5 linked regions of the Rattus norvegicus genome follow. The protein of the gene in region 1 purifies or fractionates together with the protein of each later gene. This does not show direct contact. Links are inferred from orthologs where the notes say so. Each region holds a gene or a part of one and is shown in the gene's direction. Other genes may lie near its edges.

Region 1 (5,012 bases):
CCAGGCTCACATGTTCTGTACCCTTGCTCTAGAACTCAATAAAGTTCTCATCTACAAGATGTTTGCCGTTGTTTTTAGGCTGGATTAGGGCTTAATAGTTCTTCCTTCCCTTCCTTCCTTCCACAGGATTGGCCTCTGGACAGTTGTACTCCTACCCTGCCCGACGCTGGCGAAAAAAGCGTCGAGCCCACCCACCTGAGGATCCCAGGCTTTCTTTCCCGTCTATTAAGCCAGGTAGAGGCTGGGGTAGCTCAGTTGCTAGAGTGTCACCCAGCATACACTGGGCCCTGGGTTTAATATCCTGCTTTGCATAAACTGAACATGGTTGTATATTCCTATATAACAATACCATTGAGGAGGTTGGGGCAGGAGGATTAGAAATTCAGGGTCATTCTCTACTAATAGAGAGTCTGAGACCAGCCTGGACTACATGAGAGCCTCAAAAACCATGAAATTCCCTCAAAATGATATGGGTTGGAGAGAAGTCCCAGTGCTTGTGTGAACACAAGGACCTAAATTCTAGTCTAGCATTTATACAAAGCTCAGTGTGGCCAAGGCCAACATGTTCCTGTAATCCCAAAACTCTGAGTACAGAGCTGGCGCTTCTAGCTACCAATCTAATTCAGTGAGAGACTCCAAGGCAATAAGGCAGAGCCCCCAGTGTCCTCCCAACATGTGTAGCCACATGTGTTCATGCGCCATATAGACATATATGATTATGTCTTATATGTCATGACTAAAATAATCCAGAGTAAATAAACCAAGTAAGGGGCTCCCTTCTCAGGAAGGCCATGGTCTGTATGAGGGGAGGCTTGCTGATTGCCGGCTCTCCCCAGGCTCTGTTGAGCTTGCACATACTTTGCTTCTGTCCTTCAGGGAGCCCACTGTTAGTGAAAACAGGTAATGCAGCTTATTCCAGTGCCGGCTGAACAGATACATCTCGGTTCCTGGAGAACAGAAGTGGCTGGGTTTGACTTGGCCCCTCGTGGTGTAGATTCAGCTTCAGCCCTTCTGAGTTAGCTTCATCTTGACTTGTTGCAGACACGGACCAGACTCTGAAGAAAGAGGGCCTTATCTCCCAGGATGGCAGCAGTTTAGAGGCTCTGCTGCGTACTGATCCCCTGGAGAAACGGGGTGCCCCAGATCCCCGAGTTGATGATGACAGCCTGGGCGAGTTTCCTGTTACCAACAGTCGAGCACGGAAGGTATGTCGTTCCTATCTATGGCTAAAGGACTTTAATAAGGATCAGCCTCTTTTGGGTCTACTAATTGGACCACTAATCGTGTGCCACCAAGTGCTGCTGGGAATTGAACTCAGGACCTCTGGAAGAGCAATCCGTGCTCTTAACCTCTGAGCCAATTTTTGGTCCAATTAGTAGAACTGAAGCAGATCATGGTAGAATACATGCCTGTTGATGTGTAAGCCCTAACACAAAAAACAAAAATAGCCGAAATGGAGGCGGAGGCTGCCCTGCAGTCCTGGGCTCTGCCAGCCCCAGCCTGGCTCCATCTAGCCTTCCACACTCCTTCCCAGCACAGGCTCACACACTCATTCTCTCTCACACAAGGCAAGACTGACTATTAGAGACTTAGATACCTGCTGTGACATAGGTGAAGCACACTTGGTTCCCACCTGTCAACTGGGAAGTTAATGCTAAGCTTAAAGATGAGAAGAGCTACAGATGAGCCAGGTACGCTGCTAAGTATTCCCCATATGCTTCCTCTTGTGCAGCCTCATGAGGTAGGTCCTGTGGTTCCCATTTCATTGACAGGGAGGCAGAATCAAAGCGGTTAAAACTTCCCAAGGTCAAGTAAGCAGAAAACCTTATTTAAAGTAGGACATGCATTTTGGAAGCAGAGCAGGCAGAACAGGACGAGGCTGCCTGGGGTGCCAGGAGAGCTTTATGGAAACAGTGTTTGGCTCCTGAGAGATGGAGGACAGACATTCTAGGCTAGGGGAGCAACTTGAAGAGGCACAGGGAAAAGAAAGCATTTGGGGAAGCAGTGATGGGATTGCAGGGTGAAGAATGATTGTGGATTAAGCCTCAGAGAGGCTTCTGGGTAGTTCCAGGGGGCTAATTCTATCTTGTGAGGGTGCTTTGGGATGTGCTTGACTTCTGCTCATTCCAATCTCCTGCTCCACTCAGCGGATCCTTGAACCCGATGACTTCCTAGACGACCTTGATGACGAGGACTATGAAGAAGATACTCCAAAGCGTCGGGGAAAGGGGAAATCCAAGGTGAGGAGGGAATAATGAAGTAGGCTGGTCTGTGGAGGCCAATCTTATGACATTTCTTGCTTTCTGCCTTGCTCTTCTGGCCAAGACCGCTTAGTGTTAGTGAGGGCATCATCTTTTTGGTTTTCTTGGCAGAGTAAGGGTGTGAGCAGTGCCCGGAAGAAGCTGGACGCTTCCATCCTGGAGGACCGGGATAAGCCCTATGCCTGTGACAGTGAGTGCCACCTTAGGGGTGGGTAGTTCTTGCCTCAGACCCAGCTCCTGCTCTGGATATGGGGGGGGGGGGGGGGAGGTCATGTTCTTGCACTGAGTGGTAAAACAAGCCTGGGTTCTTGTCCTGCCTGCCAACCTGGCCTTCGCTTCATAGTGGGTGGGACCTGCATGCTCTGGGGAGAGATTTCTGTGGGTCCTGGGGTGGGAGAATGAGGGAACTCAAAGCAGGCAGTGTTGGCCTCATAGTGGGCAGCATCTAGATCTGCTGACCCATCAGGGCAGGGCTCAGGGGCCGGCCAGCCCTGAGGGTTAGTGTCTGTCCTCTCTCCCTTTGCTTTGGCTTACCCTACTTCCGTGCCTCCAGCCTGAAGTGCCACTGCTGGGGTTCTCTCTCACTTGCTCTGTTTTCCTGCTGCTGCTGCCCTGTCTCAAATGTATCAAGGCCTTCTTCTCACGACTTTTCTTTCTGTCTTTCAGATAGTTTCAAACAAAAGCATACCTCGAAAGCGCCCCAGAGAGGTAGCTCTCTCAACTTTTCAGACTTGTGGTTTTCCTATCCCTTTCCCCTCTTCCCTTGTTCCTCCTACCTTTCTCATTTCCTGTGATACTAGCTTTGGAATCTGCAACGGTATGAGGGTAGTGCTGTGGTACCCGGGTTGTGCTCCATTCTCAGTCCTAGCAGCTGTCTTTACCATTGCATCACAGACTGCCTCCTATGGCCACTTGGCCTAGTGTTAACAGAAACCCATTATGGATAGATTCATCCGATGTTCCCCAAACCAGACAACAGGCAGTCAGCTCACATTTCCACCATCAACACCACCACCTCCTCCCATCCTCCCATTCCTTCCTGCTGGCCTCCTTGCTCCTCTTGGTGTCATTGCTCAAGATAAAATGCCATGTAATCTTTCCTTGTTGGTTGGCAGGGGCTGGGCAGGGCACTAGTGTGGGAATATATTTCAGTTTCTTTGCGGGAAATTATCCTGGCTGGCAGTTAGTAGGTGCTCACCAGGAGACCCACCCTCAGCCCTTTGTCTGTTCAGCTGAGATTGGCATGCACAGGGTGGCATGAGCCTGACACATCTACATAGCAGAAAAAGAGCCTGGTCTCTCCTCATCACATCCCCCTTTTTGCCATAAGGCTACACTGTAGAACATTCCCGACCTGGAGCTCCCAGACGTTACTATTTCTTGGGCAAGTTGATGCAGCAGAGGCTAAGTCCTTCTAGAAGCCAGCATGGAAAAATGTTGGTAGCTATGGGTCTGTGTTTTAGAGAGGGAAGAGAGTCCCAGAAATTAAAGAGGCCCAGGGCTTGATGCTCTTGGCTAAAGGGAAGGGACTGTCACTAAAGCTTGTGCCAGAGTAGGGACACTGGGGCAGAGGTTTCCCTTGGGCCTCATTTGGAGCTTCATAACTTGTCACAGTGGGAAAGTAGCACCTTTGTGTCCTAATATTTCTCTGCAATCTTTTTCCCACCCAGTTTGTGGAAAACGTTACAAGAACCGACCTGGCCTCAGTTACCACTATGCCCATTCCCACCTGGCTGAAGAGGAAGGAGAGGACAAAGAAGACTCCCAACCACCCACTCCTGTGTCCCAGAGGTCTGAGGAGCAGAAATGTAAGCTGAGCTGTCGGGGCAGGCAATCAGGAGAGGAACCAGCTTGTTTATAAAAATCCTCCGTCTAGAGAATGTAGGGTAACCCAGAGCTCCCTTGACCATCATCAGAGTCTTTTTCTTTTTCTGTAGCCAAGAAAGGACCTGATGGGTTGGCCCTGCCTAACAACTACTGTGACTTCTGCCTGGGAGACTCAAAAATCAACAAGAAGACAGGGCAGCCTGAGGAGCTGGTGTCCTGTTCTGACTGTGGCCGCTCAGGTACCTCCATCCTCAAAAAGCAGGGTGTACTCGGTACCCACAACCCTCCTGGCCTGCTTCCTTGAGTGCTTTTATAGTCAGGCAGCCTCCCTTACCCACTCACGCTCTGGTCTCCAGCCCACTGTCTGACTCCCTTCCTCCACAGGGCATCCGTCCTGCCTGCAGTTCACCCCTGTGATGATGGCAGCCGTGAAGACCTACCGCTGGCAGTGCATCGAGTGCAAGTGCTGCAACCTCTGCGGCACTTCAGAGAACGACGTGCGTGCCCGCTTTCTGTCAGAGCGCACCCGTTCCTCCCTAACTCTCCCCAGGGAACTTTATACTTGTTTAAAAAAAAAAATCTTGTTTCTTGGGCGAGACAGTGTTCTTAGCTCTTGGGTCGGTAAACAAAGAACAGAGAAGTTTATACTTTGATAGAATTTCGATACTTGGGGGAACAGAGTTTTGTATGATACACCTTGAGGAAAATTAAACTAGTGATGTGCCAAGAGGTAACTGGATGCTGAGAGAGGTTTGTAGTTGTGTTTGCTTCTGGAGGAAGTGAGGTTGGTATTGGAGTTTGGACATTACAAGGATCCAGTCCCAGAAAGTATGGCTAGTGCAGAGGCCTTATGGTGGGCAAGCTGGCTGTAGTGAGGCCATTGTTACCCACTAGACCCTTCCTGTGACGGGGAGGCAGATCCTA
Region 2 (4,256 bases), on another chromosome or scaffold:
CCAGGCCAGCCAGGGCTATGCAGTGAGACTCTAGGGAAAAAGATCGACAATATCGCTAACTTTTTTCTAAAAGTGAATGGAAACCATCCTTTTACCTTTGGGTGATAGTGACCCACAAACCAAACAGCAGCCAGGAGTCTTTGCTGTTCTGCGTATAGACTCTTGGTCTCAGCACTCTAGCTGTGGGTTACATAAATCTCTTCTGGAAGAAAAGTGCAGAAACTACCTTCACTTCATAAATGTACACTATGCTAGGTAGATACGATGAAAAGAATAATAGAACTGTTCCTTTCTGAAGCAGAATCCAGACTTGAGGGCCTGGTGTGGCCGTGCACACCTTTAATCCCAGGACTCAGTGGGCAGAGGCAGGCCAGCCCATCCTGAGTTCAAGGCCAGCCTTGTCTACATAGTGAGTTCCAGGCCAGCCAGGGCTGCATAGTGAGAATCTCTTAGGGGAAAAGTCAGGGTCGTTAAGCACTCGATGGGTGAACAGAGAGGCCTAGACTCACTGCCAGAGTGAACACCTCACACCCGTCTATTGGTTGTCCCCACAGTGTGACTCTGAAGATAGCATTTCTGAAGTCAGTGAGACCGTAGAGCATCTTAAAAACAGTCATAGGCCTCCGTCTAATCAGGGGCCGTGCTTACTGTATTGCTACAAACAGACTGAGGCTGTTACTGGGGAAGTAGTGATTTATAGGCTAGGCTAGGGATTACTAATACAGTACTTTTTTTAGACTCTAGAAAATTCTTTGGCATCTCTGTTTTGAGTTTTATTACTAAACAAAGCAACATAGGCAACAGGACAAATTATCTCACATCTGTCTAAAATTAAAAACTTTTTGGTGTTTATTGCCTTGTAAAAATATCAAAGTCGCTTCTTAAGATGAAAGAAGGTCACAGGAGTCTTAGATTTCAGAAAAGTGCCAACATCTCTAGTCAGGTCAAAATCATAAGCTTCTTACTAAGCTCTGGGATCAGGAGACACAGATGCCAGCCAGATGTGCACTGCTGTTGAACCCTTGATGTCAGCAGAATGTGTTTGCTGACTCCTGAAAGCCCGGCGTCTGGAGGCATTGTCTCGGCATGGTGGTAGGTAGCCCGACCCTCATAATGAGCCTTCTTGCTTTACCCATAGGTGGGAAACTACCTGCGTATGTTCCGAGGTTCTCTGTACAAGAGATACCCCTCACTCTGGCGGCGACTAGCCACTGTGGAAGAAAGGAAGAAAATAGTGGCATCGTCACATGGTAAAAAAACAAAACCTAACACTAAGGGTGCGTCTTCACGAGGGTTTGTAAACCTGTTTCAAAACCACTCGCTTATGTCACGGAGATAAAACGTTTTCACTCCAGTGTCTTCATTGCAGCCTGACCTCAGTTCGGTAGGGAGCATCCCGGGGCGGGCCACCCTGCCAGTGCACACGGGCCTCAGGAGAGAGTGGCTCATACTCCCCTGTTGTGTGTTCCTGGCTGGGCCAGCGGGTCTGTGAGGGGCTGGGCCAGGGCAGTAGCAGGTGCTGTGAAGACATGTTGGTCTCAAAACGTTTTAGGAATGCTGAGATTTGCTACCATTTGCTGAGTGTGTCGCTGTAGTCATCCTTGCGGCCGTAGACGGTGGCCCCAGCCCTCTCTCCTCTGGGGCTGTCACCGCTTCCCTCCCACAGCACATCTGTCTGTACTACTTCATGTTGACAACCGGCGTGCTGAGCTCACGTGCATGTACCCATTCCGTGGCCCGCCCTGTGCCTGGGGCTTGCCAGGTGAGCCATCTGATGCCAGCAAACCTAGGGCAAGCTCTGGGCTGTGGCAGCTCTTCAGCATGACACATGCTCTTCGTAGTCTTGGCGCCTCTAGATTATGGGCTTGGGTGTGGCTGCAGCATGCCATCTGGCAGGTGGCAAAACTGCTCTCCACTCAGCAGAGGCACCCTGTAGAGAGCTGCCCTGGGCCTGGGTGCATGTGTGCGTGCATGCAAGCATGCGTGCTCCCCAGCACTCTGTCGTCTGTCTCGTCTGTAGGTGCTGATGTAGTTTTGTCTGTTGTGGTAAATTGGGGTTCTTTTACTGCAGGAGCCAGAGCTGCTTTTGTTCACTACTAAAACAGACCCACTGTTGCCTAAAACAGTTTCGTTTGTATCCCTTGGGCCACAAGTGGAGGACGGTCACTAGCATGGTGCCTGCCTAGCTCTGCCTGCCCTTCCTTGAGTTCCTATGAAGTCGCACTGGTCTTTCTGCTGTGCTCCTTCCTTCCTTCCCTCCCTGTGGTTGAGAGATTCCTCCTGTGAAGCTGAGCAGGTCCTGCAGATAACTGGCAGCTCTTGACAAAGGCCCCTAGAAGAGCTGGACTCACGTTGGATGAAGTCTGTCTTGGTTTCCAGACAGCACATCTGCACTGGCTCAGGCATGGTAACTCCTGCTTGAGGCGAACACTTCTTTCCAACTCTCTGGGCTCTTGTTTTAAAAGAAAAGTCGTCATCTTTCATCTGTCTCGTCCTTGCTTTGTGTTTAGATTGTGGCAGTGTCAGACCTCTTCCCACTGGGGTGTTGTCCGGCAGCTTCCTGGCAGCCCCTGAGCTGCAGCTGCCCCGGACATCTCTGCCTCCGAGCCAATGCTCTTAGGAGGTGAATTCCTCAAATCCATCCTGCCGAGGCTTCCTCCTCTCTAATGTCTAGGCCAAGCCTCAGGCTGCTCGCCCTTTTGGAAGAGGCTGGCACTCAGCAGTAGAGTTTGACACCTCGCTTCCCGCCTCCTGCATGTGAGGACCTCATGTGCTGTATCGATGGTTGGCAGCCATCACACTGCAGCAGTGTGACCGCACTGGGGCTTCTCTGCTTACAGACCATGGATACACCACCCTGGCCACCAGCGTGACGCTACTGAAAGCCTCAGAGGTGGAAGAGATTCTGGACGGCAATGACGAGAAGTACAAGGCTGTGTCCATCAGCACAGAGCCCCCAACCTACCTCAGGTACGTCTTCTAATCCTAGTGTGCTCCGGGGACATGCGCGGGCAGGCGGGCGTTCCCACCCTCAAGAGCAGGCTAAAGTGAGCTGAACTGAGCTGAGCTGAACTGCCCTTCAACCCTTTCCTCGCTGAGTTCATAATTGCCTGACCTGGGCTTCTAAGTTTCTTCTGTATCTTTGGAATTCTGAAGAAACGGGCCAAGACTTGGGTTCTGAAATGTAATATTCCAAAATTGGGATTCATTTATCAAAAAAAACCAATGGTGACTTAGATAAATTCCCAAAAGAAACAATAGATTTAAATGTATGTATGTAGGTATGTATGTATATAGTGTATAGTGTATGAATGTGTATGTATGTATGTATGTATGTAGTGTATAGTGTATGAATGTGTATGTATGTAGTGTATAGTATATGAATGTGTATGTATGTATGTATGTAGTGTATAGTGTATGAATGTGTATGTATGTATGGATATGTGTATATGTGGAACTTTAAAAGAACTTTTTTGAGAAGCATCTCATGTAGCCCAGGCTGGCCTTAAACTGGCCATGTAGTTAAGCATGGTGTTAAACTTCCAATCCTCCTGCCTCCACCTCCCGAATGCTTGCATTACAGGTGCATGCCGCCATGCCTGCTTATGCCCAGGACTTGGTACCTGCTCGGCGAGCGCTCTGCTGACTGACCTGTATCCTCAGGTCCACCCAAACTTTGGTTTTGTTTTCGAGACAGGGTCTCTGTGTGTAGCTCTGACTATCCTGGAACTCACTCTGTAAAACAGGCTGACCTCAAACTCCGATCACCATACTTGGAAAGCAGGTGCATTTACCCCGTTAGCCATCTTTCCAGCCTAGAACAGAACTTTTGTTATGGATGGCAAATCACTGTAAATGTACTGTGTTGTATCTGTGTCTCCACACCTCGACTCAGACGTGAACTGAGAAGCCCGTAGGTTTGGTGAGCTGGAGCGATGCTAGTGACTGAACCCAGGACCCCGTGAGTTTGTGTTCCATCTCTGAGCTGCACCCCAGACCACAGTGTACAAGAAACTAGAGTGCAGTGCATATCTAGTGATACGGGAGGGAAACAAACATGGCAGGAATGATTGTCATCTACGTGATCTTATTCTCCTGGGTGAGGCTGAGGATGGAGCTCGGGGCCCCATTGCTAATTGTGTGTACACTCTCCCATTGAGCTGCATTGCAGTCACTGTGACCCCCACCTCTAATCGCAGACCGACCTCTAAAGTGAATGCACGAGGGTGTGGGTCTAAAGGCCTGCGTGGACTAAC
Region 3 (4,256 bases), on another chromosome or scaffold:
GACTGCCCGAGAGCGGTAAACCCTCCCGTGCGTGCCCAGTGCGTGTGGGAAACAAACTGAAACTGCCCGCAGAGGCAGACACCAATGAAGCAGACTTTTTAGTTGAACTGTTAGTTAAAGCAAACAAATGCACTATGAAATAGAATACAAAGTTACATGGGCCCCCACGCCCACCCCCTTCCTTCTTTTCTGCTTTGCAAGCAGAGTATCATGTAGCAGCAGCAAAGGCTGGTCTTGAACTTCTGATGTCTATGTCCCAAGTGCTTCCATGTCCAACTTTTTTTTTTTTGTCCCACCCCACCCCCGCCCCTCCATTTTCTTTAAGGAAGGGAATTACTATATTACTATGTAACCCTACTGGCCTGAAACTCTCTGAGATCCTCCTGCTTCTGCCTCCTGAGTGCTAGAATTGAAAGCGTGCCGCCGTACCTGGCCCTCTAACATTTCTCTTCTTTTTTTTTTTTTTTTTTTTTTTGTTCTTTTTTTCGGAGCTGGGGACCGAACCCAGGGCCTTGCGCTTCCTAGGCAAGCGCTCTACCACTGAGCTAAATCCCCAACCCCTAACATTTCTCTTCTTAAAAAATGCTATGTGTATAAGTGTTTGCCTTAGCCACATATGTGCGCCATGTGTATGCCTCAAAGGCCAGGAGAAGGTGTTAGATCCCCTGGAAGTGACATTTCGGATGATTTTGAGCCACCCTGTGGCCCCTGGGAACCAAACCCAGGTCCTCTGCAAGAGCAGCCAGTGCTCTTGACTGGTATCTAGGATATTCTGTCATTTCTGTGTAGTTCCAGAACATTTTCCTCAGTCCATAAAAAATACTGCCCACACTGTACAGTCCCTCTCTGCCTTCCTTCACCATTTCCTTATAATGACCAGTCCGCTGCATGCGTGTGTGCGTGCGTGCGTGCTTACGCGTGTGCGTGCTGGAGCGCTGACCTGTTGTAGGCATTTCACATAAAGAACATCATGTGTCTTGGCTTCAAGAACCTTGTCAAGACAGGTTCTGCCCTGTTTCCGCTGCTGTGCTGTATCCTCCAGGGTGGCTGGCCCCTAAGTTTCTAGCCAGTCTCCTGTCTTCACCTCCCATCTCACGAGTGCTGGGATTACAGTCGTGTGCTACCCCGTCCTGATTTTCACACGGGTTCTAGGGAACAAATTTGGGGTTTTTGGCTTTTGTGGCTCACATGGGTTTTTTCCCCTAGGGAACAAATCTGGTTTTTAGGCTTTCATGGCTGTACTGTCACCCCTGAGCCATCTCCCTGACACTCCTTTGTTCCTTTTTATGACTGGGTAATATCTATTATAATACTATCTGGCTGTTCCCACTGCTGAATTCACCATTGTGAACAGTGTGGCATTTGTATTCAAGATTCTGGTCTCTGGACCAGAAAGTAAAATTGCTGGGTCTTGACAGGTGGGGGTGGCAATTACCTTTAATCCCAACACTCTGGAGGCAGAGACAGGTGGATCTCTGAGTTCAAGGACAGCCTGATCTATAGAGCAAGTTCCAGGCTAGTTAGGGCTACACAGAGGGGAGAAAAAAAACCCAGTCATATGTAAGTTCTTGAGGAAGGGCAAGAGGGAAAACTGAGGCCATACAAGTAACCCAAGCGATTAGTATCGTCAGATAAACAATTGCTTCACATGATGCTGTTCAGCCAGGTTGTAAACTCTCGTGTGTAGAGGATTTGTAAAGATAGGCAGATGTCTGTGACGTCACCATTTAGAGAGATAGGAAGTCCGTAGGCACATGAGGGAGCAATCTAGAAAGGTAGAACAGAGTCCTTTAAAATGCTGGCATCTTAGGGGCTGGGGATTTAGCTCAGTGGTAGAGCGCTTTCCTAGGAAGCGCAAGGCCCTGGGTTCGGTCCCCAGCTCCGAAAAAGAACCAAAAAAAAAAAAATGCTGGCATCTTAGAGGTGTGAGGTATCAGTTAACGTGAGTGTAGCTATGCTTTTGTTTTCCTCTGTGGTTAGCCATTGCTCGAGTCACTTAGACTCATCCTTATTGTTAAGAGAAAAGTTGGGCCCGGGATATAGTTCATTTGATAGAGAACTCACCCAGGGCTGGCATGCCGGAAGCCCTGGGTTTGAACCTCACCATCAAATAAACTGGCTTTGGCAGTGTGCACCTGTGGATCCCAGCACTCAGGAGGCAGAGTCCATAGGCCCCAAAGTTCAAGGTTATCCTCAGCTTCTAAAAGAGTCTGAGGCTGGCCTCGGATATTTGAGACCCGTCTTAAAAGAAAAAGGCAGGGGGCTGGGGGAGATGGCTCATCAGGTAAAGGTGCCTGCCAACTTGAGTTCAGTCACCAGAACTCACATGGTAGGAGAGAACTGACTCCATCGTGTGGTCCTCTCACCTCCATATACGAACTGTTGCAAGCACATATACTAAATAAACAAATGGGAGTTGTTGTTGTTGTTGTTTTTTAAAGAATTAAAGACTGGAGAGATTTCTCAACTGTTAAGAGCGTTGGCTGCCCTTGCAGAGGACCCAAGTTTCGTTCCCAGCAAGCGCTCGGTGACTCAGAACCATCTGTGTAACTCCGTTTCCAGGAGATCAGACGCAGGCAACAGGCACACATGTGGTGCCCAGACATACATGCAAGCGCTACACCCGTCCACATAAAATAAAAATAAGAAACTCTTGGGAACGCTTGTTTTCCGCTCCCTCTGCTGTTAGGAGAATGCTGGTTCTCTTCAAAAGCCCAATGAAGTCTCTGCGGCCATGACTTCCCCCGCCGGAGCCAGGTGGCAGCCATGATTGCTGTAGTGCTTGGTGCCCAGCAGAGGGCGCCAGACACTGGCAGCATTATGCGCTTAGTAGCCCTCCCTCTTCCTTCTCCAGGCAGAGGGTCGGAGACCCACAGAACCCACTTGTGGCCTGGCTCCTTATAACTGTCTGGCTAGTTGATACATCGAAACTTCCCAAGCTTTGGTCCAATCGAGCTCTGGAAGCCCCTGGCCACAAAACTCCCCAGATCTGGGTATTTTTAGTACCTGGCCCATCTGCTGCAGCTTCTCATGTGTCTGAAAACAGCTTCTGTTGTCTTGCTTCTCGCTCAGATGCTTCTGACGAGCAAAACTCCCAGTCTTCGATGGAAAACTCAACGAACAGCTCAGAGAAAGCGGAACGGCAGCCATCTGCAGAGTCAGGGCTGGCGGCAGAAACATCGGCAATCTCTCAGGTACCTGCCGTCCCGCCTCAGTGGGTGGGGCTGGGGTTCTCCACGGTGCGTTGAGAGTCATGCTGCTTCCTGTTGGACTGTTAGAACGCTGTTCGTCCATTGAGCAGCAGCTCAGAGTTTAAGCCTACACCACCTGGGACCACGGTGATGGGAGGGATGTGTGGTCCTGCGTCAAGAGTCCTCTGGCGTAGAGGATGTGGAGTCTTGTCTTTCTAATCTCAGCTTGGTGATGGTGTGGCGTTTGGGTCCATCAGAACATCTCATCCCAGTGAGCCCACATCCTAAGGTTAAGGAAGACATAACCTCAGAAACCTAAAGGCCGGATTACTCTTTGGAATTTTGCATGCGATGGAGCCCCTGCTCAGACCCCTTCTGTGTTGTAACCAAGTATCAACATCGTTCTTGGATTGTTCAGTGCAAACCCAAGGTCCAGGGGCAGGAGGCAGACACAATGGAATCTAGCCCAGGTTCAAATCCAGCTCCGGCACACCTATAATCTCATCTACTTAGAGAGTTGAGGTTGTAGGATCGCAAGTTCAAAGCCAGCCTGGGACACTTAATGAGAGAGCATCCTTATCTGTCTGTCTGGCCCTGTGTCCCTGCTGGACCAGGTCTTTAGCCGTCTCTACCCTAACCATAATGAAGAGGTGCTAACTTAGAGGTGTGAGAAGGGCACTAGACTTGGAGAGAAGGCTCAGATAGAACAGGATGTATTGGGGGGAGCAGGTCACCTGGCCTCCCCAGCATTGGTAAGAGGGGCAAATATTAGAAGCCTTGTTTCAATCAGTGCTTTACAGTTTAAGGAGAAGGTTCAGGTTGGATGCTGGATGACACCTGTAGAGGGGCCATGTCATGACAGCTCAGACAGATGGACAGACTCTTAACAGGTACAGCAGGTAGATCTTGCTTATGGAGGGGAGGTGGGTGTGGATAGAAAGGGAACTGTAGGGTGCCATCCAGGCACGGGCTTTATCTTATGCCAATGACCACTGTCTTCAGAGCGCTGTCCGTGTGTCCATTCAACAAATGCTGAGTTTCTGCCCCCAGCCAGGTGCCTGGAGC
Region 4 (4,256 bases), on another chromosome or scaffold:
GTAAGCAGAAGAGGAAGTTTTCTTCCTTCTTCAAGAGTTTGGTCATTGAGTTGGACAAAGACCTTTATGGCCCAGACAACCACCTTGTTGAGGTAAGACAGATTGCCGCTGCCCGTGAATCACAACCTTCCCATCAGCCCTGGAGCAGCTGCAGATTTGGATTGAGGACCATCCTAAAGCCCTAGGCTCTACCAACCCAGATGAGTCTGTGGGTGACCTAGCTCTTCCCCCTGGACAGTGGCACCGGACACCCACAACCCAGGAGACAGATGGGTTCCAAGTGAAGAGACCAGGGGACTTGAGTGTGCGCTGTACCCTGCTCCTGATGCTGGACTATCAGGTTGGTTTTACTCCGTGCCTGCATGCCACACACAGACCCTACTCTCCTTCCTACTCACTTTCTCTAGGGGCATGCTGCCAAGGACCCTAACCTCCACGCCCCATTCTCTATTTCTCCCCTCAATCTCATTTTCCTGGTAACCTTTTCCCAGCCTCCCCAGTTCAAACTGGACCCCCGCTTGGCCCGGCTGCTGGGGTTGCATACGCAGAGCCGCTCAGCCATTGTCCAGGCACTGTGGCAGTACGTGAAGACCAACAGGCTACAGGACTCCCATGACAAGGAATACATCAATGGAGACAAGTATTTCCAGCAGGTAACATGTCCTTAGCCTCAGGATCTGGGGATCAGGGATGGTATCCTAGCAGAAGCACCTCCCTAAGGTAGCTATCTCCTTTTGCTGAGTTCCTGAATAACAGGAATGGTTAGGGCCATGGCCTTGGAGCCAAGAACAGGGTCTTGTCCAGGCTCTTCCTGGATGATCTATTCAGCTGCACCCCAAGGGAAGCAAATGTGGGGCCCTACTAGGGGAGGGGAGGGCACAGCATCCTGCAATGTAACCTTCTTGGTACTTGGAGCTGGGATCTCTGAGGTGCCGCCAGTCTTGGGTCTAGACTTGGGGTCACTTACTTTGCTATCCCTTCTGCCTCTTGGTCTGCTTCTGAAATGAGGGGTGGTGGGAGGTGTGCCATCACATGTGTTTGGCAGCTAGGAAAAACGACATTGCTGAAAGCTGACCCGACAGGTCTAGCAGAGTAGAGCATTGCTATTAATATGTTTTAAAATAAGCACAGTAGAGGAGTCTGAGGAGAAAGAGTAGCTGGTGTTTATTGAGCATTTACCATGTACCACTTCAGACACTTCCTGCTCTGCAGATTCACCCGGTTCTCATAACCACCCATGAGATGGGGTTGGTAATATCCCTATTCTGGAAGTGAAGGCACTAAGACCCAAGGTGCTAGGTAACTTCTCACAGGATGTGGCAGAAGGGACAAACGCTCAAGCAGGCTGACTTAGGACCCCACACTGGCCCCCTAATTATCCTGCTTCTCTACCTCCAGCCCAGCCCACAGCCATCAGCGCCCAGAATTCTGACTTGCCCTCAGCTTCTTGTGGTCTTTCCAGAATGGAAGGACTATTATTAGCTACTGTCTTTACACACACACACACACACACACACACACACACACACACACACACACGAATGATCTCCCTCTCAACTCTCCTGCTTCAGATTTTTGACTGTCCCCGCCTGAAGTTTTCTGAGATTCCCCAGCGTCTCACAGGCCTGCTGCTTCCTCCTGACCCCATTGTGATCAACCATGTCATCAGGTGAGGTGGCCCAGCCTTCCCCACAGAGGGAGCTCTCTGCTCCCCTCCCTGCTCCCCTCCCTGTGTCCCCTCCCCAGCCCTGGGCTTCCGTGGGGGTATACCATGGACATCAAAGGCTGGGCTTCTCTGGCAGCGTGGACCCATCAGACCAGAAGAAGACCGCGTGCTATGACATTGATGTGGAGGTGGAGGAACCACTGAAGGGGCAGATGAGCAGCTTTCTCCTGTCCACCGCCAACCAGCAGGAGATCAGTGCTCTGGACAGTAAGGTGCGGCCTGAACCCAGAGATAGAGTGGGATGTTAAACCGAGAGAGAGGACAAAGCACTCAGACCACAGCATGGCCCTGGGACACGAGGCACACACAGCCCCTCCCTGCTATCGAGAAGCTGACTTCACTCCAAGTTCAGCTCTGCCCACCCCGCTCCCCTCACTGAACTCAGAGAGAGCAAGGGCTCTGGGAAACTGCCCTTCACAAGAGAAGCTAGTCCCCCCTGCCTCCTCCTTCCTCTTGCATTCCTCCCCCACATCAGGGGAGGGCCAGGGGAGATCATTGTCTTTCTACCTGTAGATCCATGAGACCATTGAGTCCATAAATCAGCTCAAGATCCAGAGGGACTTCATGCTAAGTTTCTCCAGAGACCCCAAAGGCTACGTCCAAGACCTGCTCCGCTCCCAGAGCCGTGATCTCAAGGTGAAGACGGGGCTCAGGGGTCACTGATGTGAAGACAAGCACACAGGGAGGGGAAGAGGAGCATGCAACTCGGGCAGGTGAGGCACTTGGAACTCACCGCAGGCCCCGTGCTCCCTCCCAGGTGATGACAGATGTGGCCGGTAACCCCGAGGAAGAGCGCCGGGCTGAGTTCTACCACCAGCCCTGGTCCCAGGAAGCTGTCAGCCGCTACTTCTACTGTAAGGTAATGGAGGCCCTGGAACATGAGGCTTCCTTCTCCTTCAGTCCTAAGAGAGGCCTTGCCTCTCACCTGGCAACAGTCTTTGCTGCTGCCTATGCCCAACGCCTGTCCACCACCCTACACCCCCATGCAGTAGTCTCCTGGCTCCCAGACTCTTCCAGGGAAGGGGTGCCAGGAGGGGGTGCCCCTGGTCACTCACCAGGGTCATTGTAACCCTGCCCCTGCTCACGCTTCCTCTAAAGATCCAGCAGCGCAGGCAGGAGCTGGAGCAGTCACTAGTTGTGCGCAACACCTAGGAGCCTGTGAACACGCATCACTGTGGACCAGCCTCGCTGCCCAGCATGGACCCTGGGCTCTGGACTCCCTCTCCCGTGCTGTGCTGGGGTTGGGGAGGGCTGGATTAAAGGTCACTCATCAGACAGCAGCCTTGTGGTCATTGTGGATTGGGATGGGAGGGAAGAAGAGAGGGGAAGGCAGTGGAACCTGGCAGACAAACTCTCCATGACCCTCCTACAGATTCTTCTTAGCCCTCTCCCTAGACCTAAAAACAGTTTGGCAGAAGATACTTTTAATAACATTTCTTATTTTTAAAAAAATACAGCGGCAAGCCCTCCATCTGTCCATTGCCTTGCCTTGCCCTTCCTGGGGCTATGGCAGACCCAGGGGTGGAGAAGCTAAGTGCTGTTGGCCTGCTCCTGCTCAAACAGAGCCATAGCTAGCTGGGTACGGGCACCCAGCCCCTCCAAGTTGCTGAGGCGACAACGGTGGTACAGTTCCTCACTGAGCCGGGGGCTGCAGTCCCTCAGGGAGAACTTCTGTACCAGCCCTGGCTCTACGGCTCGAAAGAGGTGGAGCCCTGAGAACCGGAGGAAAACATCCATCACCTCCAGCCCCTCCAGGGCTTCCTCCTCTTCCTGGCCTGCCAGTTCACCAGCCAGCCGGGCCCGGGCTGCCAGGTAGTCAGCGTTGTAGAAGCAGCCCTCTGCTGATGCCTGCCGGTCAAATCTGCCCCCGACTGGAGCTCCCCGAGAAGGGTCCACACCAGGGGATGGGGGGTCAGGGCCAGCCCCAGGGACACCTGGGGGAGATCTCTGTGGTGACAGAACGGGGTTGAACTCCTGAAAGTGGACCGGAAAGAAGGCCTGCCAGCCCGAGATTGCATTCATACGGCAGCGGTTGAGGACTTCCGACCCAGGTCTTGTCCACACAGTGGTAAGGAAGAAAAGCGTGTCCACGGGGTGTTTCTTGGAGATGACATCCATGAGTCGCACCTGGGAAGGGGCCTCCGCTCGAACAGCAAGCCAGGCCAGCCTCGTCCCGGGGTACCGTCGTTCTAACTCAGCTGCTGCAGCCTTCACTCCAAGAAATGGGTCAGGGCCCCCGCGGCCTTCCCGGGGCCCATAGACCAACAACAGGGTGAGCAATGCATGTTCTCGAGGCTCCAGAACACTGGCAGCAAAGGCTTCAAGAAAAGCCAGGGCAGCCGGAGCTTCGGCCACCAGGATCGGCAACACCAGCTGCACCCGGGTAGCCTCAGTGACATAGGGCATAGGCAGGATTTCCACTTTGCTCAGTGGCCTCAGCAGGCTCACTCTGCGGGCCAGGGAGCGTCGATGCCCTCGTTGAGTCACGGCTTCCAGCAGCAAGTCCAGGGTGTACTCCATGCCCCTCGCA
Region 5 (4,256 bases), on another chromosome or scaffold:
CTGATTATAAAGCTTACCTTTCTTTAGTTTCTGCTTTTTGATTAAGGGCGCCACATTATAGTTCAGGCTAGTCTGGGACTCATTATCTCGAACTGGCCTTGAAGTCAAGGCAAACAGACCTGCCTTGGTCTCCAAAACCCTCAGATTACACTTGTGATTCACCATAGCTGCTCAGAGCAGGACTATTACTGTTCCATAACGTCTTGTCCACGAGAGAGTAAGGGGTAAATTGTTCATTTCCATATGCCGGGACCAACTTTATAATGCTTAGGATTTTATCACCATTTCATATAGGTCATTTCTGTGAAAGGCAGCAGTAAAAACAAGATCCTTACAATTCTAATAATCAGGTGGATGGATGGAATTCAGGCAAAAGGAAATGTGACTAGAAACTAGTGGAGAATAGATGAACATCTGTTGACAGTGCATTCCCTTTCCTAGGTCATGCTGGGAAAGGGGGTACATTCAGGAAGAAGTGTTAGAAGCATTGGTTGTTACTGATCGGTGAGGTATAGACTATGTAGCTCACATCTCTCGCTCGCTGGAGGCAGACTTATGTAACTGTTGTTTGGGTCAAAGAAAACTTCGTTCCTTTGGGAAGGAAATGGTTCGAGAGAAGTGAAAGCAGTGTGCTGGAGATGTCTTTTTTTTTTTTTTTTTTTTAAGACTCATTGATGGAGATGCCTTTAGAATAGGAACTTCATTGCCTCCTGCGTGAGAAAACTATGTCAAACTGGGAGGGAAGGAAGGAAGGAATTGGATAAGGTCTTGGGGACTCATGTCAAGAATTCTTCCCTTTCTTTATTTCCTTTTCTCTCTTTCAGCTCCCAGGGTTGCTAGAGCTCCTTGTTGAATATTTCCGTCGATGCCTGATTGAAATCTTTGGCATTTTAAAGGAGTATGAGGTAGGGGACCCAGGACAAAGAACACTGCTAGACCCTGGGAGATTGACCAAGGTGTCTAGTCCGGCCCCCACAGAGGAAGAAGAGGAAGAGGAACACGTAGATCCCAAGCTGGAGGAGGAAGAGGAGGAAGGGGTTGAAAATGATGAGGAAATGGCCTTTTTGGGCAAGGACAAGCCACCTTCAGAGAAGAGTGAGGAGAAGCTAGTCAGTAAGTTTGACAAGCTCCCGGTAAAGATCGTGCAGAAGAATGACCCGTTTGTGGTGGACTGCTCAGATAAGCTTGGGCGCGTGCAGGAGTTTGACAGTGGCCTGCTGCACTGGCGGATTGGTGGTGGGGATACCACTGAGCACATCCAGACCCACTTTGAGAGCAAGATAGAGCTGCTGCCTTCCCGGCCTTGTGTGCCCTCCCCAGTGCCCCCTCGGAAACACGTCACAACAGTAGAGGGTACACCAGGGACAACGGAGCAGGAGGGTCCCCCGCCTGATGGCCTTCCAGAAAAAAGGATCACAGCCACTATGGATGACATGCTGTCCACCCGGTCTAGCACATTGACTGACGAGGGAACAAAGAGTACAGAGGCCAACAAGGAAAGCAGCAAGTTTCCATTTGGCATTAGCCCAGCACAGAGCCACCGGAACATCAAGATTTTAGAGGACGAACCCCATAGTAAGGATGAGACCCCACTGTGTACCCTTCTGGACTGGCAGGATTCCCTTGCTAAGCGCTGTGTCTGTGTCTCTAATGCCATCCGGAGCCTGTCATTTGTGCCAGGCAACGACTTTGAGATGTCCAAACACCCAGGGCTGCTGCTTATCCTGGGCAAGCTGATCCTCCTGCACCATAAGCACCCAGAACGGAAGCAGGCGCCACTGACTTATGAGAAGGAGGAGGAACAGGACCAAGGGGTGAGCTGTGACAAAGTGGAATGGTGGTGGGACTGCTTGGAGATGCTCCGGGAAAACACTCTGGTCACCCTTGCCAACATCTCGGGGCAATTGGACCTATCCCCATACCCTGAGAGCATCTGCCTGCCTGTCCTGGATGGACTCCTACACTGGGCAGTTTGCCCTTCAGCTGAAGCCCAGGACCCCTTCTCAACCCTAGGCCCCAATGCCGTCCTCTCTCCTCAGAGATTGGTCTTGGAAACCCTCAGCAAACTCAGCATCCAGGACAACAATGTGGACCTGATACTGGCCACGCCCCCTTTTAGCCGCCTGGAGAAGTTGTATAGTACCATGGTGCGCTTCCTCAGTGACCGAAAGAACCCAGTGTGCCGGGAGATGGCCGTGGTACTGCTGGCAAATCTGGCACAGGGGGACAGCCTGGCAGCCCGGGCCATTGCGGTGCAGAAGGGCAGCATCGGCAACCTCCTGGGTTTTCTGGAGGACAGCCTTGCTGCCACCCAGTTCCAGCAGAGCCAGGCCAGCCTCCTCCATATGCAGAGCCCACCCTTTGAACCAACTAGTGTGGACATGATGCGGCGGGCTGCCCGAGCGCTACTCGCCCTGGCCAAGGTGGACGAGAACCACTCAGAGTTCACTCTGTACGAGTCACGGCTGTTGGACATCTCCGTGTCACCACTGATGAACTCACTGGTTTCACAAGTCATTTGCGATGTACTGTTTTTGATTGGCCAGTCATGACAGCCGTGGGGCACCTCCCCTCCCCGTGTGTGTGTGAGTGTGTGGAGAACTTAGAAACTGACTGTTGCCCTTTATTTATGCAAAACCACCTCAGAATCCAGTTTACCCTGTGCTGTCCAGCTTCTCCCTTGGGAAAGCCTCTCCTGTTTCTCTTCCTCCCCACCCTCACTCCCTCACACCTTTCTGTTCCTCACCCTCACCTGCTTCCCTCAGGACCCACCCTGTTGAAAGACAAAGCTCTGCCTACATAGAAGACTTTTTTATTTTAACCAAAGTTACTGTTGTTTACAGTGAGTTTGGGGAAAAAAAAAATGGCTTTCCCGGTCCTTGCATCAACGGGATGCCACATTTCATAACTGTTTTTAATGGTTAAAAAAAAAAAAGGAAAAAAAAATACAAAAAAACCCTGAAGGACAAAGGTGACTGCTGAGCTGTGTGGTTTTGTTGCTGTCCATTCACGATCTCGCAAGGAGCCGCGAAGGTGGCAGTCGTGAGCAGCCCTGTTCACTGGCGAGGCCCGTGCAGTAGAGTGTAGGTCCTTCCATGTACTGTACTGGACACCTGATACTGTAAACATACTGTAATAATAATGTCTCACACGGAAACGAGAGAAGACGCTGGGTCAGCAGCAAGCTGTAGTTTTTAAAAATGTTTTTAGTTAAATGTTGAGGAGAAAAAAAAAGGCTTTTCCCCCAAAGTATCATGTGTGAACCTACAACACCCTGACCTCTTTCTCTCCTCCTTGATTGTATGAATAACCCTGAGATCACCTCTTAGACCTGGTTTTAACCTTAGCCGCAGCGGCCGCGCTGCCACGTGTGTATATATATGATGTTGTACATTGCACATACCCTTGAATCTCCACAGTTTGGTTCCCTTCCCAGCTACCCCTTTATAGTATGGCGAGTTAACAAGTTGGTGACCTGCACAAAGCGAGACACAGCTATTTAATCTCTTGCCAGACGTCGCCCTCTTGGTGCGATGCTCTACAGGTCTCTGTAAAAAGTCCTTGCTGTCTCGGCAGCCAATCAACTTACAGTTTATTTTTTTTCTGGGTTTTTGTTTTGTTTTGTTTCCTTTCTAATCGAGGTGTGAAAAGGTTCTAGGTTCAGTTGAAGTTGCTGATGAAGAAACACAATTGAGATTTTTCAGTGATAAAATCTGCATATTTGTATTTCAACAATGTAGCTAAAAACTTGATGTAAATTCCTCCTTTTTTTCCTTTTTTGGCTTAATGAATATCATTTATTCAGTATGAAATCTTTATACTATATGTTCCACGTGTTAAGAATAAATGTACATTAAATCTTGGTAAGACTTTTGTGAGGCTTTTTTTTTTTTTTTTTTTTTTCAAATTATTTTAAAAAGCTTTACCTGTGGCTGGAAAGATAGCTAGCTTGGCAGTTTTAGGAAAACCCATGTTTGGTGGATGACAGCCTCCTGTCCAAATCCATGGGATCTGACCCCTCTAATGATGCGTGCGAGCGCGCGAGCGCGCGCGCGCACACACACACACACACACACACACACACACACACAAAACTAATAAATCTTTAACCAGGATTTAAGAGATGGCTTAGTAATTAAGAACACTTGCTTTTACATAGGCTCAATTCTCAGCACTCGCTTTGTAGCTTACAACCTTAGGTCAAGGGGTGGTCCAGGACCCACAGATGTAGCATGATCTGACCTCTGTGGGCCCCA

What was found.
Region 2: the proteins of Dpf2 (region 1) and Smarcb1 purify together in Homo sapiens (affinity purification with mass spectrometry; 11 studies listed by BioGRID and IntAct, counting the BioPlex papers as one, with this or other methods). This does not show direct contact. The link is inferred for Rattus norvegicus from reciprocal best matches to the Homo sapiens genes DPF2 and SMARCB1.
Region 3: the proteins of Dpf2 (region 1) and Bcl7a purify together in Homo sapiens (affinity purification with mass spectrometry; 3 studies listed by BioGRID and IntAct, counting the BioPlex papers as one, with this or other methods). This does not show direct contact. The link is inferred for Rattus norvegicus from reciprocal best matches to the Homo sapiens genes DPF2 and BCL7A.
Region 4: the proteins of Dpf2 (region 1) and Smarcd3 purify together in Homo sapiens (affinity purification with mass spectrometry; 3 studies listed by BioGRID and IntAct, counting the BioPlex papers as one, with this or other methods). This does not show direct contact. The link is inferred for Rattus norvegicus from reciprocal best matches to the Homo sapiens genes DPF2 and SMARCD3.
Region 5: the proteins of Dpf2 (region 1) and Arid1a purify together in Homo sapiens (affinity purification with mass spectrometry; 6 studies listed by BioGRID and IntAct, counting the BioPlex papers as one, with this or other methods). This does not show direct contact. The link is inferred for Rattus norvegicus from reciprocal best matches to the Homo sapiens genes DPF2 and ARID1A.

What each region holds. Positions count from the first base shown.
Region 1 is NC_086019.1:212,617,607-212,622,618, reverse strand, and holds part of Dpf2 (zinc finger protein ubi-d4), read left to right. Parts: intron 1-126; coding exon 127-234; intron 235-1,041; coding exon 1,042-1,205; intron 1,206-2,147; coding exon 2,148-2,240; intron 2,241-2,372; coding exon 2,373-2,451; intron 2,452-2,927; coding exon of another isoform or gene 2,928-2,969; intron 2,970-3,931; coding exon 3,932-4,069; intron 4,070-4,198; coding exon 4,199-4,327; intron 4,328-4,472; coding exon 4,473-4,585; intron 4,586-5,012. UniProt on the Homo sapiens protein: Plays an active role in transcriptional regulation by binding modified histones H3 and H4. Is a negative regulator of myeloid differentiation of hematopoietic progenitor cells. Might also have a role in the development and maturation of lymphoid cells.
Region 2 is NC_086038.1:12,743,948-12,748,203, forward strand, and holds part of Smarcb1 (SWI/SNF-related matrix-associated actin-dependent regulator of chromatin subfamily B member 1), read left to right. Parts: intron 1-1,138; coding exon 1,139-1,250; coding exon of another isoform or gene 1,251-1,277; intron 1,278-2,840; coding exon 2,841-2,970; intron 2,971-4,256.
Region 3 is NC_086030.1:38,876,515-38,880,770, reverse strand, and holds part of Bcl7a (B-cell CLL/lymphoma 7 protein family member A), read left to right. Parts: intron 1-3,072; coding exon 3,073-3,194; intron 3,195-4,256.
Region 4 is NC_086022.1:11,469,776-11,474,031, forward strand, and holds the end of Smarcd3 (SWI/SNF-related matrix-associated actin-dependent regulator of chromatin subfamily D member 3), read left to right. Parts: coding exon 1-92; intron 93-238; coding exon 239-340; intron 341-491; coding exon 492-653; intron 654-1,141; exon of another isoform or gene 1,142-1,571; coding exon 1,572-1,669; exon of another isoform or gene 1,670-1,802; coding exon 1,803-1,938; exon of another isoform or gene 1,939-2,239; coding exon 2,240-2,362; exon of another isoform or gene 2,363-2,483; coding exon 2,484-2,585; exon of another isoform or gene 2,586-2,824; coding exon 2,825-2,878; 3' UTR 2,879-3,006; downstream 3,007-4,256. Other genes in the region: Chpf2 (chondroitin sulfate glucuronyltransferase precursor), read right to left, coding at 3,257-4,256. UniProt on the Homo sapiens protein: Involved in transcriptional activation and repression of select genes by chromatin remodeling (alteration of DNA-nucleosome topology).
Region 5 is NC_086023.1:151,191,631-151,195,886, reverse strand, and holds the end of Arid1a (AT-rich interactive domain-containing protein 1A), read left to right. Parts: intron 1-824; coding exon 825-2,552; 3' UTR 2,553-3,873; downstream 3,874-4,256. UniProt on the Homo sapiens protein: Involved in transcriptional activation and repression of select genes by chromatin remodeling (alteration of DNA-nucleosome topology).